Linked DNA regions of Saccharomyces cerevisiae S288C. The main gene of each other region encodes a partner of the protein of the gene in region 2 in a complex. Each region holds a gene or a part of one and is shown on either strand. Other genes may lie near its edges. A codon is read from its position in the direction of its gene.

Region 1 (3,025 bases), on a different chromosome or scaffold from region 2:
CTGGGTTATTAGCTGGCGGAATACCAGAGTTTGCTGCATGAGTGGCATTGGCAGTCAGCTCTTCCAGGAATTGCTCTGAGGAAAGCATTTCCATCTCATTATGATAGTTAACTCCCGTAGCAGGAGAGCCCACATTGGCCCTTTGTAAGGGTTCACCGTTAATTTGCGCCTCCTGAGGTAAGCCAATATAATGAGAGCTTGCCGAAGTTACAGAACTGCTTCTTTCTTGCTTGTTGTTGCTCAATTCCTGGTTGTTGCAGTCTACCTTGATCATACTTGATTCAACCAGCTTAGCAGTATCCGAGTTGGTGACATCAGCCTCGAATTGAGGGGTATATGGTAAGAATAAAGAAGCGACGATAATAGTCATTGAGGTTGCCCGTGGTTATTAGTCTGTGGTTTTTTGAATAGGAAGCAATAAATTATAAAGCCAGGACCTGCAATAACGTTTGTACTGTTTTATTGTGATAAAAGATGAAGCGGAATAGCAACGGTACTTAAAACTTATGTCTTAGACTTAATACTATTGAATGTTTGCTCGTCCACTTGATGCTCCCTGGAGTTGCCGTTGCTGCGTGCTGAAGGGGATTAATTAATTCCAGGGGCACCGCGCGAAGCCCAGGAGGACAATTGATTACGTAGGGAAGAAAGGGCCCTTTTAGAAGACTGGCAATTGCAACTCTATCGAGGTTAGGTGTTACACTACGCTGTTCATTGAGGAAGTAGATGAATAAACTTGTTGATGCCCACTGTCATGTTATAACCGACCCAGACAACACATTCTGCGGTGATGATGGAGGGTCCCAGGGTACGTTGCGTTGCGTTATGTCATCAAACCCATATGACTGGAACAATTTGAAAAAATTGGCTGGCAGAAGCACAAGTAAAAACGATATATGCGTGGGATTTGGTGTGCATCCTTGGTACAGCCACTTATTTTATGTGGGAAGTCGGCGCGACAAGGTTTCTCACTATCAAGATGTACTGGAGTATAAGAATGAAGAACAGTTCGACAGTTTGGTTCAGGTGCTTCCCGAACCTCTAGATCTTGAAGAGTATATAAAAAGAGAGTTTAACGACACTTTGGTTAGTGTGATTGGAGAAATCGGTCTTGATAAGCTCTTCAGACTTCCTGCAAATGGTTTCTACATGCAGAACGAGAAGGCAAGGCTTACGACAGTGAAGGTCAAACTATCGCATCAAGAAACAGTATTCAGGCGATTTTGCCGACTGGCAAGGCACACAAGCAAGCCCATCTCTATACACGATGTAAAGTGCCACGGGAAACTAAACGATATCTGCAATGAAGAGCTCTTGACGTATCACTCTGTCAAGATATGTTTACATTCGTACACAGGCTCCAAGGAAACGCTTCTGGGCCAATGGCTCAAGAAGTTTCCCCCGGATCGTATTTTTGTGAGCCTATCCAAATGGATTAATTTTAAGGACCCAGAAGAGGGAGATGCCCTGGTCAGGAGCTTGCCCTCAACTTGCATACTTACTGAAACCGACTATCCTATTGACAATCCAGATCCGTCATACCAAAAGGCCCTTACAGAGCAGCTGCAGTATTTGAATGCACAAATCGCACGAGCATGGGACGAGACACTGGATGCCTCACAAGCCGCTTTGCGTGTATACGAAAACTTTCAGAAATTTATCAAGTGAAACGCTTTTGAGGTGGCAGCATAGCACTGTAATGAGATATATTAAGTAGGCTTGCTGTATACCATTTCTTGCTATGCATGTGTTTTAGCAAGGCAACGCCGTTCCGGAAGGGAAAAAGCGCTCTTTTTTATATACTGTGAAATTTTCAGATTTTAACTTAGAAATTATATAAAAGCGGTTGTGTATCTATTGTGATAATGCAATTCCTTTATAGTTTAGCAAATCGAAGGATAGGTATATACTGAGTAGTAATGGCTAGGCCAGTTAATACAAACGCTGAAACGGAATCGAGAGGCAGACCCACTCAGGGTGGTGGTTACGCAAGTAACAACAATGGCAGCTGTAACAACAACAATGGCAGCAATAATAACAATAATAACAATAATAATAATAATAATAACAGCAATAACAGCAATAACAATAACGGGCCTACCTCCAGCGGGAGAACCAATGGGAAGCAAAGACTCACAGCTGCACAACAGCAGTACATTAAGAATCTCATAGAGACACATATCACCGACAACCACCCTGATCTGCGCCCCAAGAGTCACCCAATGGATTTCGAAGAGTATACGGATGCGTTCCTGAGAAGGTATAAAGACCACTTTCAATTGGACGTACCGGACAACCTGACGCTGCAGGGATACTTATTGGGTTCCAAATTGGGCGCGAAGACTTATTCATACAAGAGGAACACACAGGGGCAGCACGATAAAAGGATACATAAGAGAGACCTGGCCAACGTGGTGAGAAGGCATTTCGATGAGCATTCCATTAAAGAGACAGATTGCATACCGCAATTTATATACAAGGTAAAAAACCAGAAGAAGAAATTCAAGATGGAATTTCGGGGTTGATCAAACGATGAGGCAGCCCTTTTGTGTATAAGTTATGTAAACTTTTAAGGTGGTAATTGTTAAAATGGACAGTAACACTTGTTTATTTGCTAGTATTCCATTTAGTTTAATGCCTTTTTGTATACGGTGCGGGTAGCTGTCGCGCCATTTTAAACGATCTAATATAACTGAGGTGGGCCTGTCATTGATGCATTGAATAGACAACTCATCAACCTATTTCTTATAAAAGGCGCCATAAAGCATTACAATCTACGATCGCGCAAACTTTTTTCTTTTGGCCATGGAGGATTCGAGATTGCTTATCACTTTGATTCTTGTGTTTGGAGTTATATTTCTGAAAAAATTCTTCCAAAGTAATCAGCATCCCTCAGCACAACGCTTATCCGCTACAGGTGTAAACGCACACGGACGTCCTCAGGGCTCCACGCAGAATGCCTTGAGAAGGACTGGTAGAGTCAATGGAGGTCACCCCGTGACTACTCAGATGGTGGAAACAGTGC
Region 2 (7,537 bases):
TTCTTAGTCTTTTTCTTGGAAATCTTAGAGATTGCCTCATCACTATCATAAGGTTCCGCTTCGTCTTGAAGAGAGGCAGAGTTCATGGACGCCACCTTTCTTTTTTTTAAAGTTTGAGATAATGGCACATCGTCATCGTCATCAGAAGACAACTCATGATTAACTTTGGAAGCATCAGCAATAGTCATTTTTACGCGTTTCAAGTTTCGAGCTCTGCCCTCCCTTTAGATTTTTTTTATTTGCTGTTTTAATACTATAAGAATAGGACTCAGGTAATTAGAGTAACAGAGAAAACAAAAAAGAATATTGCGCTCGTGTTAGTGTTGAAACAAAAAAATACAGTTGTTCTTTACGTGCATCGATCATATAAGAAAAGGGAAAAAAGCCGTAAAGTAAAAAAATAAAGAGCTTTCCATGGCTGGTTTTTTTTCTTTTTTTTTTTTTTTTTTGAAGACTACAGCAGGTATTACCCGGAGTGAAAAAGGTTTCTCACACTAAAATTTACGTGTTCAAGACATTGAAGTTATGTATAAATATATATGAGCGTATATTATGTGTATGTCCGTTTCCATTCTGTTTAGATTTTATGGCTATAGTATTAAACTCCTATATATCAAAATGCGTCGTCGGCGGCTAGAGTTTGCAGGTTCCACTCGGTTTCGAAATTTGTCTTCAGGGCGCCAAGCTTGTTAATGATGCTGTTACAGGCGTTTTTCAAGGCATCCTTCGGGTCGTAGCCCTCGGTGGTCTGTATTCTCAGCTTGAAACGAGCGAAGAAGGGATGCTCAACCTTGTAAGCGGCAAACAGCACTTTTCTGTCGTTCAGAAGTTCTGCACGAATCAGGTTTCCCAACGTGTGGTCCTCCTTCTCAAACGTTATCACTACTGCGTTGGGGGCTTTGGTGTCGGGGTCAATCTTTAGCTTGGATTCCCCTTCACCCAGAAGGAACAGTTCGAATCTGTCTGGAGCATTCATGATGCAGTTGTGTCCAAATGTATCTGGTTTGGTGGCTACGTAGCTATCTATTTAGGCTGCACGGCTCAGTTCTCTCGCTCTTCTTTTAACGGACCTCTTGTGTGTGCCAAAGCAGTGAACCTAGAATTTTCGCGGACACTTCCACTTTATTAAGTCCGGGTAATGATAATATTGAGCTTGCAAGTTTTTTGAACTCGGATAGCAGCATTATCCATGACATGACACGGATCTACCGACGAGGCTTACCGACGAGGCTTACCGACGAGGCTTACCGTGATCCCTCTCCAGTAGTCTGTAAATTCTGTTTATAATTTAAAAAATCTATCTTCTACTCCAGTCTTGTAACTACTGTTGTTACGCGCTGCCCAGAGTGTGGCACACACTGCGGGGTTACCCGTGTAACGTAGAATAAACCAGTACGGGTAATGATATCGGATTTTCTAGTGATTTTTTTCCATTCGCAAAAAAGTCGCCTTCATTTTGCAGTTCTTCAGCAAACGTGATTTGCAAAACAACGGTTACTCCCCTTCCCTATTACATTTGTCTTCCCTTTTTCGCACCAGCATTGCTAATATTCGAGGCACCGTACCTAACTAATCAGCTCATTCACGTACCACATATTCTTTGTTACTTCCCTCCCTCCACAACAGGCTACGCTATTGACCGCTTTCAGTATAGTCTCTTTACCCTTTTGTTGTGTTCGTTTGAGGTTATTTGGAAAAGGACAAAATATCTAAGAAACAAGTTATACATTGTACAAAAATGTCACAGGTTTGGCATAATTCGAATTCGCAATCAAACGATGTGGCTACTTCAAATGACGCTACGGGTTCCAACGAAAGAAACGAAAAAGAACCGTCCCTCCAGGGAAATAAGCCCGGTTTTGTTCAACAGCAGCAACGGATTACTTTACCCTCGCTATCTGCCTTGAGTACTAAGGAGGAAGATAGAAGAGATTCCAATGGCCAACAGGCTCTAACTTCTCATGCTGCTCACATATTAGGTTATCCTCCCCCACATTCAAATGCTATGCCCTCAATTGCAACTGATTCAGCATTGAAACAGCCCCACGAGTATCACCCTCGCCCTAAATCTTCGTCCTCTTCTCCCTCTATAAACGCTTCGCTTATGAATGCTGGTCCAGCTCCCCTCCCCACAGTGGGAGCCGCCAGTTTTTCTTTGTCGAGATTTGACAATCCATTACCGATAAAAGCTCCTGTTCATACAGAGGAACCAAAAAGTTATAATGGTCTTCAGGAAGAAGAAAAGGCGACGCAACGGCCTCAAGATTGCAAGGAAGTTCCCGCTGGTGTGCAGCCTGCTGATGCCCCTGACCCTAGCAGCAACCATGCAGATGCTAACGATGACAATAATAACAACGAAAATTCTCACGATGAAGATGCTGACTACAGACCTCTAAACGTGAAGGATGCCCTATCTTACCTCGAACAGGTCAAATTTCAATTTAGTTCGCGTCCGGATATCTATAATTTATTTTTAGATATTATGAAGGACTTTAAATCTCAGGCAATAGACACACCGGGCGTTATTGAAAGAGTATCCACTTTGTTCAGAGGTTATCCAATTTTGATTCAAGGGTTCAATACTTTTCTACCCCAAGGCTATAGAATCGAATGCTCCTCTAATCCGGACGACCCCATTAGAGTTACTACACCAATGGGTACTACGACAGTAAACAATAACATCAGTCCATCTGGTAGAGGTACAACGGATGCACAGGAACTTGGTTCTTTTCCAGAAAGCGATGGAAATGGTGTTCAACAGCCCTCCAATGTGCCAATGGTGCCTTCGAGTGTGTATCAATCGGAACAAAACCAAGACCAACAACAATCTTTGCCTCTTTTAGCTACTTCTTCTGGTTTACCTTCAATTCAACAACCTGAAATGCCTGCACATCGCCAAATCCCACAAAGTCAATCTTTAGTGCCTCAAGAAGATGCTAAGAAAAACGTTGATGTCGAATTTAGTCAAGCCATAAGCTACGTTAATAAAATTAAAACTAGATTTGCCGACCAACCTGATATTTACAAGCATTTTCTGGAAATACTACAAACTTATCAGCGAGAGCAAAAGCCAATAAACGAAGTCTACGCACAAGTGACGCATCTTTTCCAAAATGCTCCTGATTTACTAGAAGATTTCAAGAAATTCTTGCCGGACTCTTCAGCTTCTGCCAATCAGCAGGTGCAACATGCTCAGCAACATGCTCAACAACAACATGAGGCCCAAATGCATGCACAGGCACAAGCTCAGGCTCAGGCACAGGCACAGGTGGAACAACAGAAGCAGCAACAGCAATTCTTGTATCCAGCTTCGGGCTATTACGGCCATCCTTCTAACCGAGGTATTCCACAGCAAAACTTGCCTCCTATAGGAAGCTTCTCGCCTCCAACAAACGGTTCGACCGTACATGAAGCCTATCAGGATCAACAGCACATGCAACCACCCCACTTCATGCCCTTACCATCGATCGTTCAACACGGGCCAAATATGGTACATCAAGGGATAGCGAATGAAAATCCACCTCTATCAGATCTAAGAACGTCTCTCACTGAACAGTACGCTCCTTCTAGTATACAACATCAGCAGCAGCACCCGCAAAGTATTAGTCCTATAGCAAATACGCAGTATGGTGATATCCCTGTTAGACCGGAAATTGATTTAGATCCTAGCATTGTGCCTGTGGTCCCTGAACCCACTGAGCCCATCGAAAACAATATATCGCTTAATGAGGAAGTCACTTTCTTCGAAAAGGCCAAGAGGTATATCGGCAATAAACATTTATACACTGAGTTTTTGAAAATTTTAAATTTGTACTCTCAAGATATACTTGATCTTGACGATTTAGTGGAAAAGGTAGATTTCTACTTGGGTTCCAATAAAGAACTATTTACGTGGTTCAAAAACTTTGTTGGCTACCAAGAAAAAACCAAATGTATCGAGAATATTGTTCATGAAAAACATAGATTGGATTTAGATTTATGTGAGGCATTTGGCCCAAGTTACAAGAGGCTACCAAAAAGTGACACTTTCATGCCATGCTCAGGTAGGGATGATATGTGTTGGGAAGTCTTGAACGATGAATGGGTTGGACATCCTGTATGGGCTTCCGAAGATTCGGGATTTATTGCTCATCGTAAAAACCAGTATGAGGAAACACTATTCAAGATCGAAGAGGAAAGACATGAGTATGATTTTTACATTGAATCAAATTTAAGAACTATTCAATGTTTGGAAACAATTGTAAATAAGATCGAGAACATGACTGAGAATGAAAAAGCCAATTTTAAACTGCCTCCAGGTCTTGGCCATACTTCAATGACTATTTATAAAAAAGTGATAAGGAAAGTTTATGATAAGGAAAGGGGGTTCGAGATTATTGATGCTTTGCATGAGCACCCTGCAGTGACAGCCCCAGTCGTTCTGAAAAGGTTAAAGCAAAAAGACGAAGAATGGAGAAGAGCTCAACGTGAATGGAATAAAGTTTGGAGGGAGTTAGAACAGAAGGTTTTTTTCAAGTCATTAGATCATTTAGGCTTAACATTTAAACAGGCTGACAAGAAATTATTAACTACAAAGCAGTTGATATCAGAGATTAGCAGCATCAAAGTTGATCAAACAAACAAAAAAATTCACTGGTTAACTCCTAAACCAAAGAGCCAGTTAGATTTTGATTTCCCTGATAAAAACATTTTCTATGATATCTTGTGTTTGGCTGACACTTTTATAACCCATACCACAGCCTATTCTAATCCCGATAAAGAAAGATTGAAAGATTTACTAAAATACTTCATCTCTTTGTTTTTTTCTATTTCTTTCGAAAAAATCGAAGAATCGTTGTACTCCCATAAGCAAAACGTGTCAGAATCTAGCGGATCTGACGATGGCAGTTCTATTGCATCAAGGAAGAGGCCCTATCAACAAGAAATGAGTTTACTTGATATTTTACACAGGAGCAGATATCAAAAGCTAAAGCGTTCTAATGATGAAGATGGCAAAGTTCCCCAGCTCTCTGAACCACCCGAAGAAGAACCTAATACCATTGAGGAGGAAGAGCTCATCGATGAAGAAGCTAAAAATCCGTGGCTAACTGGGAATTTAGTGGAGGAAGCAAACTCTCAGGGTATTATCCAAAATCGCAGTATTTTTAATCTATTCGCTAATACGAATATTTACATATTTTTCCGTCATTGGACAACGATTTATGAGCGGCTTTTGGAAATTAAGCAAATGAATGAAAGGGTCACAAAGGAAATCAACACAAGGTCGACAGTTACTTTTGCCAAAGATCTAGATTTATTATCGAGTCAACTTTCCGAAATGGGACTAGATTTTGTTGGTGAAGACGCGTACAAACAGGTTTTAAGACTGAGTAGAAGGTTGATTAATGGGGATCTTGAACATCAGTGGTTTGAAGAGAGTTTGCGGCAAGCTTACAATAACAAAGCGTTTAAACTCTATACAATTGATAAAGTCACCCAATCGTTGGTAAAGCATGCTCATACCTTGATGACTGACGCTAAAACTGCGGAAATAATGGCTTTGTTCGTTAAAGATAGAAATGCCTCCACCACGAGTGCGAAGGACCAAATTATCTATCGCTTGCAGGTGCGCTCACATATGTCCAACACAGAAAATATGTTTAGAATAGAGTTTGATAAAAGAACTCTGCATGTTTCCATTCAATATATTGCACTTGATGATTTGACACTAAAGGAACCAAAGGCAGACGAAGATAAATGGAAATATTATGTAACATCGTATGCTCTGCCACATCCAACAGAAGGCATTCCGCACGAGAAACTGAAGATACCATTTTTGGAAAGGCTCATCGAATTTGGACAAGATATTGATGGAACAGAGGTAGATGAGGAGTTTTCCCCCGAAGGCATCTCTGTATCGACATTGAAAATTAAGATCCAGCCTATAACCTACCAACTGCATATTGAAAACGGGTCTTACGATGTTTTTACCCGTAAGGCTACTAACAAATATCCTACTATTGCTAATGATAATACTCAAAAAGGAATGGTTTCTCAGAAGAAGGAGTTGATATCAAAATTTCTAGACTGTGCAGTTGGTTTGAGAAATAATTTAGATGAGGCTCAAAAATTAAGTATGCAAAAAAAATGGGAGAACCTAAAAGACAGCATAGCAAAGACGAGTGCTGGAAACCAGGGAATAGAGAGTGAAACCGAAAAAGGTAAAATTACGAAACAGGAGCAGTCGGATAATTTGGACAGCTCTACTGCAAGTGTACTGCCTGCATCCATTACTACTGTACCACAAGATGATAATATAGAAACGACTGGGAATACTGAATCTTCAGACAAGGGGGCTAAGATTCAATAAGTAGTTTTAACTAGATTTAGAACAAAAATCTTTAGTACGACAGGGTCTTTCTTCTGATGTGTACCTTTAATTAATGTCAACGATATAACATTGTAATTTTAAAATTCTAAGTGTTTTTGAAGCTTTTTAAGACACATCGATCTTTCCATAAAGGAAGAAGTGATAACATGCAGTGGTTATATTTGTGTACTCATACACTGGTGCATGAATCTTTTTACACGTCATTAGCATAGTATGTAATCGAAAGGACACTATTTATAAGGGACAGTTTATACATACATATACTTGATATTCCCATGAATGAGTATTCTATTCCATATCAACATCCACTCCAAAATCGTCTAGTGATTCACCCCAGTCGTTGTACCACTTCTCACGAGAAGCATGTCTGCCATTTTGAGGAAGTCTGGTCCTTATTAGCTGTTCGCCACTTTCATTACGCATCTCTATTGTTGAGCTGCCATGATTGAAGACGGTGTTTGTTTTACCTCCATCTGGTGGCCAGGGAAGTGAAAGGATGTGGTCTTCCAATGAGGAGTTAGCCTCATATTTTGAAATACCGTTTTTTGGAAAATTGTTCCCATCTCCCGTAGGAACACCATATGGCCATAACCATAAATGAATGGGACCAAGGTACAGTAATGCATTAGTGTACAAATCAAAATCGTAAGGGAAATTTACAAGTTCATCAAAACGTGGCCTTTTTTTTGTCAAGTGTTCCTCAGCATCCTTTTTATTTTGAAACGACCTCGACTCTGGATATATTCTCCAAGTATTATCAATTAATTTCTGAGTTAATCTTCCGGAGTTGAACAAAGATTCTAGCCGATCCATATCCCACGACTCAATTTGAGATCTTCCATTCAAGATTTGATTGAATAAACATCGTAGGAAAAGAATTGTTATCGTTAGTAGGACAAAAGAATTTAAAGGACTCGATATTGTTAAGAAAATCAGTTCTGATTTTTTGAAGAAGTAGCCAGGCAAGTGCCTTTGTTGCCAAATAAAATATATCCGCTTAGCTTGTATGCAAAATAAAACACTAGTCGTCACTATGATCCAAAATAAGAATCTAAGGAAATGCGGATAGTTTGCAAAGCCGACGCAATTCATCGTCCACGGACAATGATGATCCATCATTAGGACGCATTGATTGCAGGTTTTACAATGATGTGAACGTTCTGGCTT

Evidence for each region.
Region 1: the proteins of SIN3 (region 2) and SAP30 are in contact, whole or in part, in a cryo-EM structure (PDB 8HPO), measured with the Saccharomyces cerevisiae proteins. Residues at the interface, in NP_014639.1 of Saccharomyces cerevisiae: Leu662 (codon at 3,722), Glu665 (codon at 3,731), Phe669 (codon at 3,743), Lys673 (codon at 3,755), Thr683 (codon at 3,785), Glu684 (codon at 3,788), Leu686 (codon at 3,794), Lys687 (codon at 3,797), Ile688 (codon at 3,800), Leu689 (codon at 3,803), Asn690 (codon at 3,806), Leu691 (codon at 3,809), Tyr692 (codon at 3,812), Ser693 (codon at 3,815), Gln694 (codon at 3,818), Ile696 (codon at 3,824), Leu697 (codon at 3,827), Asp698 (codon at 3,830), Leu699 (codon at 3,833), Asp701 (codon at 3,839), Glu704 (codon at 3,848), Lys705 (codon at 3,851), Asp707 (codon at 3,857), Phe708 (codon at 3,860), Tyr709 (codon at 3,863), Phe720 (codon at 3,896), Phe723 (codon at 3,905), Val724 (codon at 3,908), Cys732 (codon at 3,932), Glu734 (codon at 3,938); in NP_013990.1 of Saccharomyces cerevisiae: Gln76 (codon at 2,145), Tyr79 (codon at 2,154), Ile80 (codon at 2,157), Leu83 (codon at 2,166), Ile84 (codon at 2,169), His87 (codon at 2,178), Ile88 (codon at 2,181), His92 (codon at 2,193), Lys98 (codon at 2,211), Ser99 (codon at 2,214), His100 (codon at 2,217), Pro101 (codon at 2,220), Met102 (codon at 2,223), Glu106 (codon at 2,235), Tyr107 (codon at 2,238), Thr108 (codon at 2,241), Phe111 (codon at 2,250), Arg114 (codon at 2,259), Tyr115 (codon at 2,262), His118 (codon at 2,271), Phe119 (codon at 2,274), Leu129 (codon at 2,304), Gln130 (codon at 2,307), Tyr132 (codon at 2,313), Leu133 (codon at 2,316), Gly135 (codon at 2,322), Ser136 (codon at 2,325), Lys137 (codon at 2,328), Leu138 (codon at 2,331), Arg160 (codon at 2,397).

Annotation. Positions count from the first base shown.
Region 1 is NC_001145.3:793,000-796,024, forward strand, and holds SAP30 (Sap30p), read left to right. Parts: upstream 1-1,919; coding exon 1,920-2,525; downstream 2,526-3,025. Other genes in the region: TPS3 (trehalose 6-phosphate synthase/phosphatase complex subunit), read right to left, coding at 1-370; YMR262W (putative endodeoxyribonuclease), read left to right, coding at 727-1,668; CUE1 (Cue1p), read left to right, coding at 2,806-3,025. UniProt on the Saccharomyces cerevisiae protein: Component of the RPD3C(L) histone deacetylase complex (HDAC) responsible for the deacetylation of lysine residues on the N-terminal part of the core histones (H2A, H2B, H3 and H4).
Region 2 is NC_001147.6:315,200-322,736, forward strand, and holds SIN3 (transcriptional regulator SIN3), read left to right. Parts: upstream 1-1,738; coding exon 1,739-6,349; downstream 6,350-7,537. Other genes in the region: TOP1 (DNA topoisomerase 1), read right to left, coding at 1-188; DNA-directed RNA polymerase II core subunit RPB11, read right to left, coding at 614-976; palmitoyltransferase PFA4, read right to left, coding at 6,659-7,537. UniProt on the Saccharomyces cerevisiae protein: Catalytic component of the RPD3 histone deacetylase complexes RPD3C(L) and RPD3C(S) responsible for the deacetylation of lysine residues on the N-terminal part of the core histones (H2A, H2B, H3 and H4).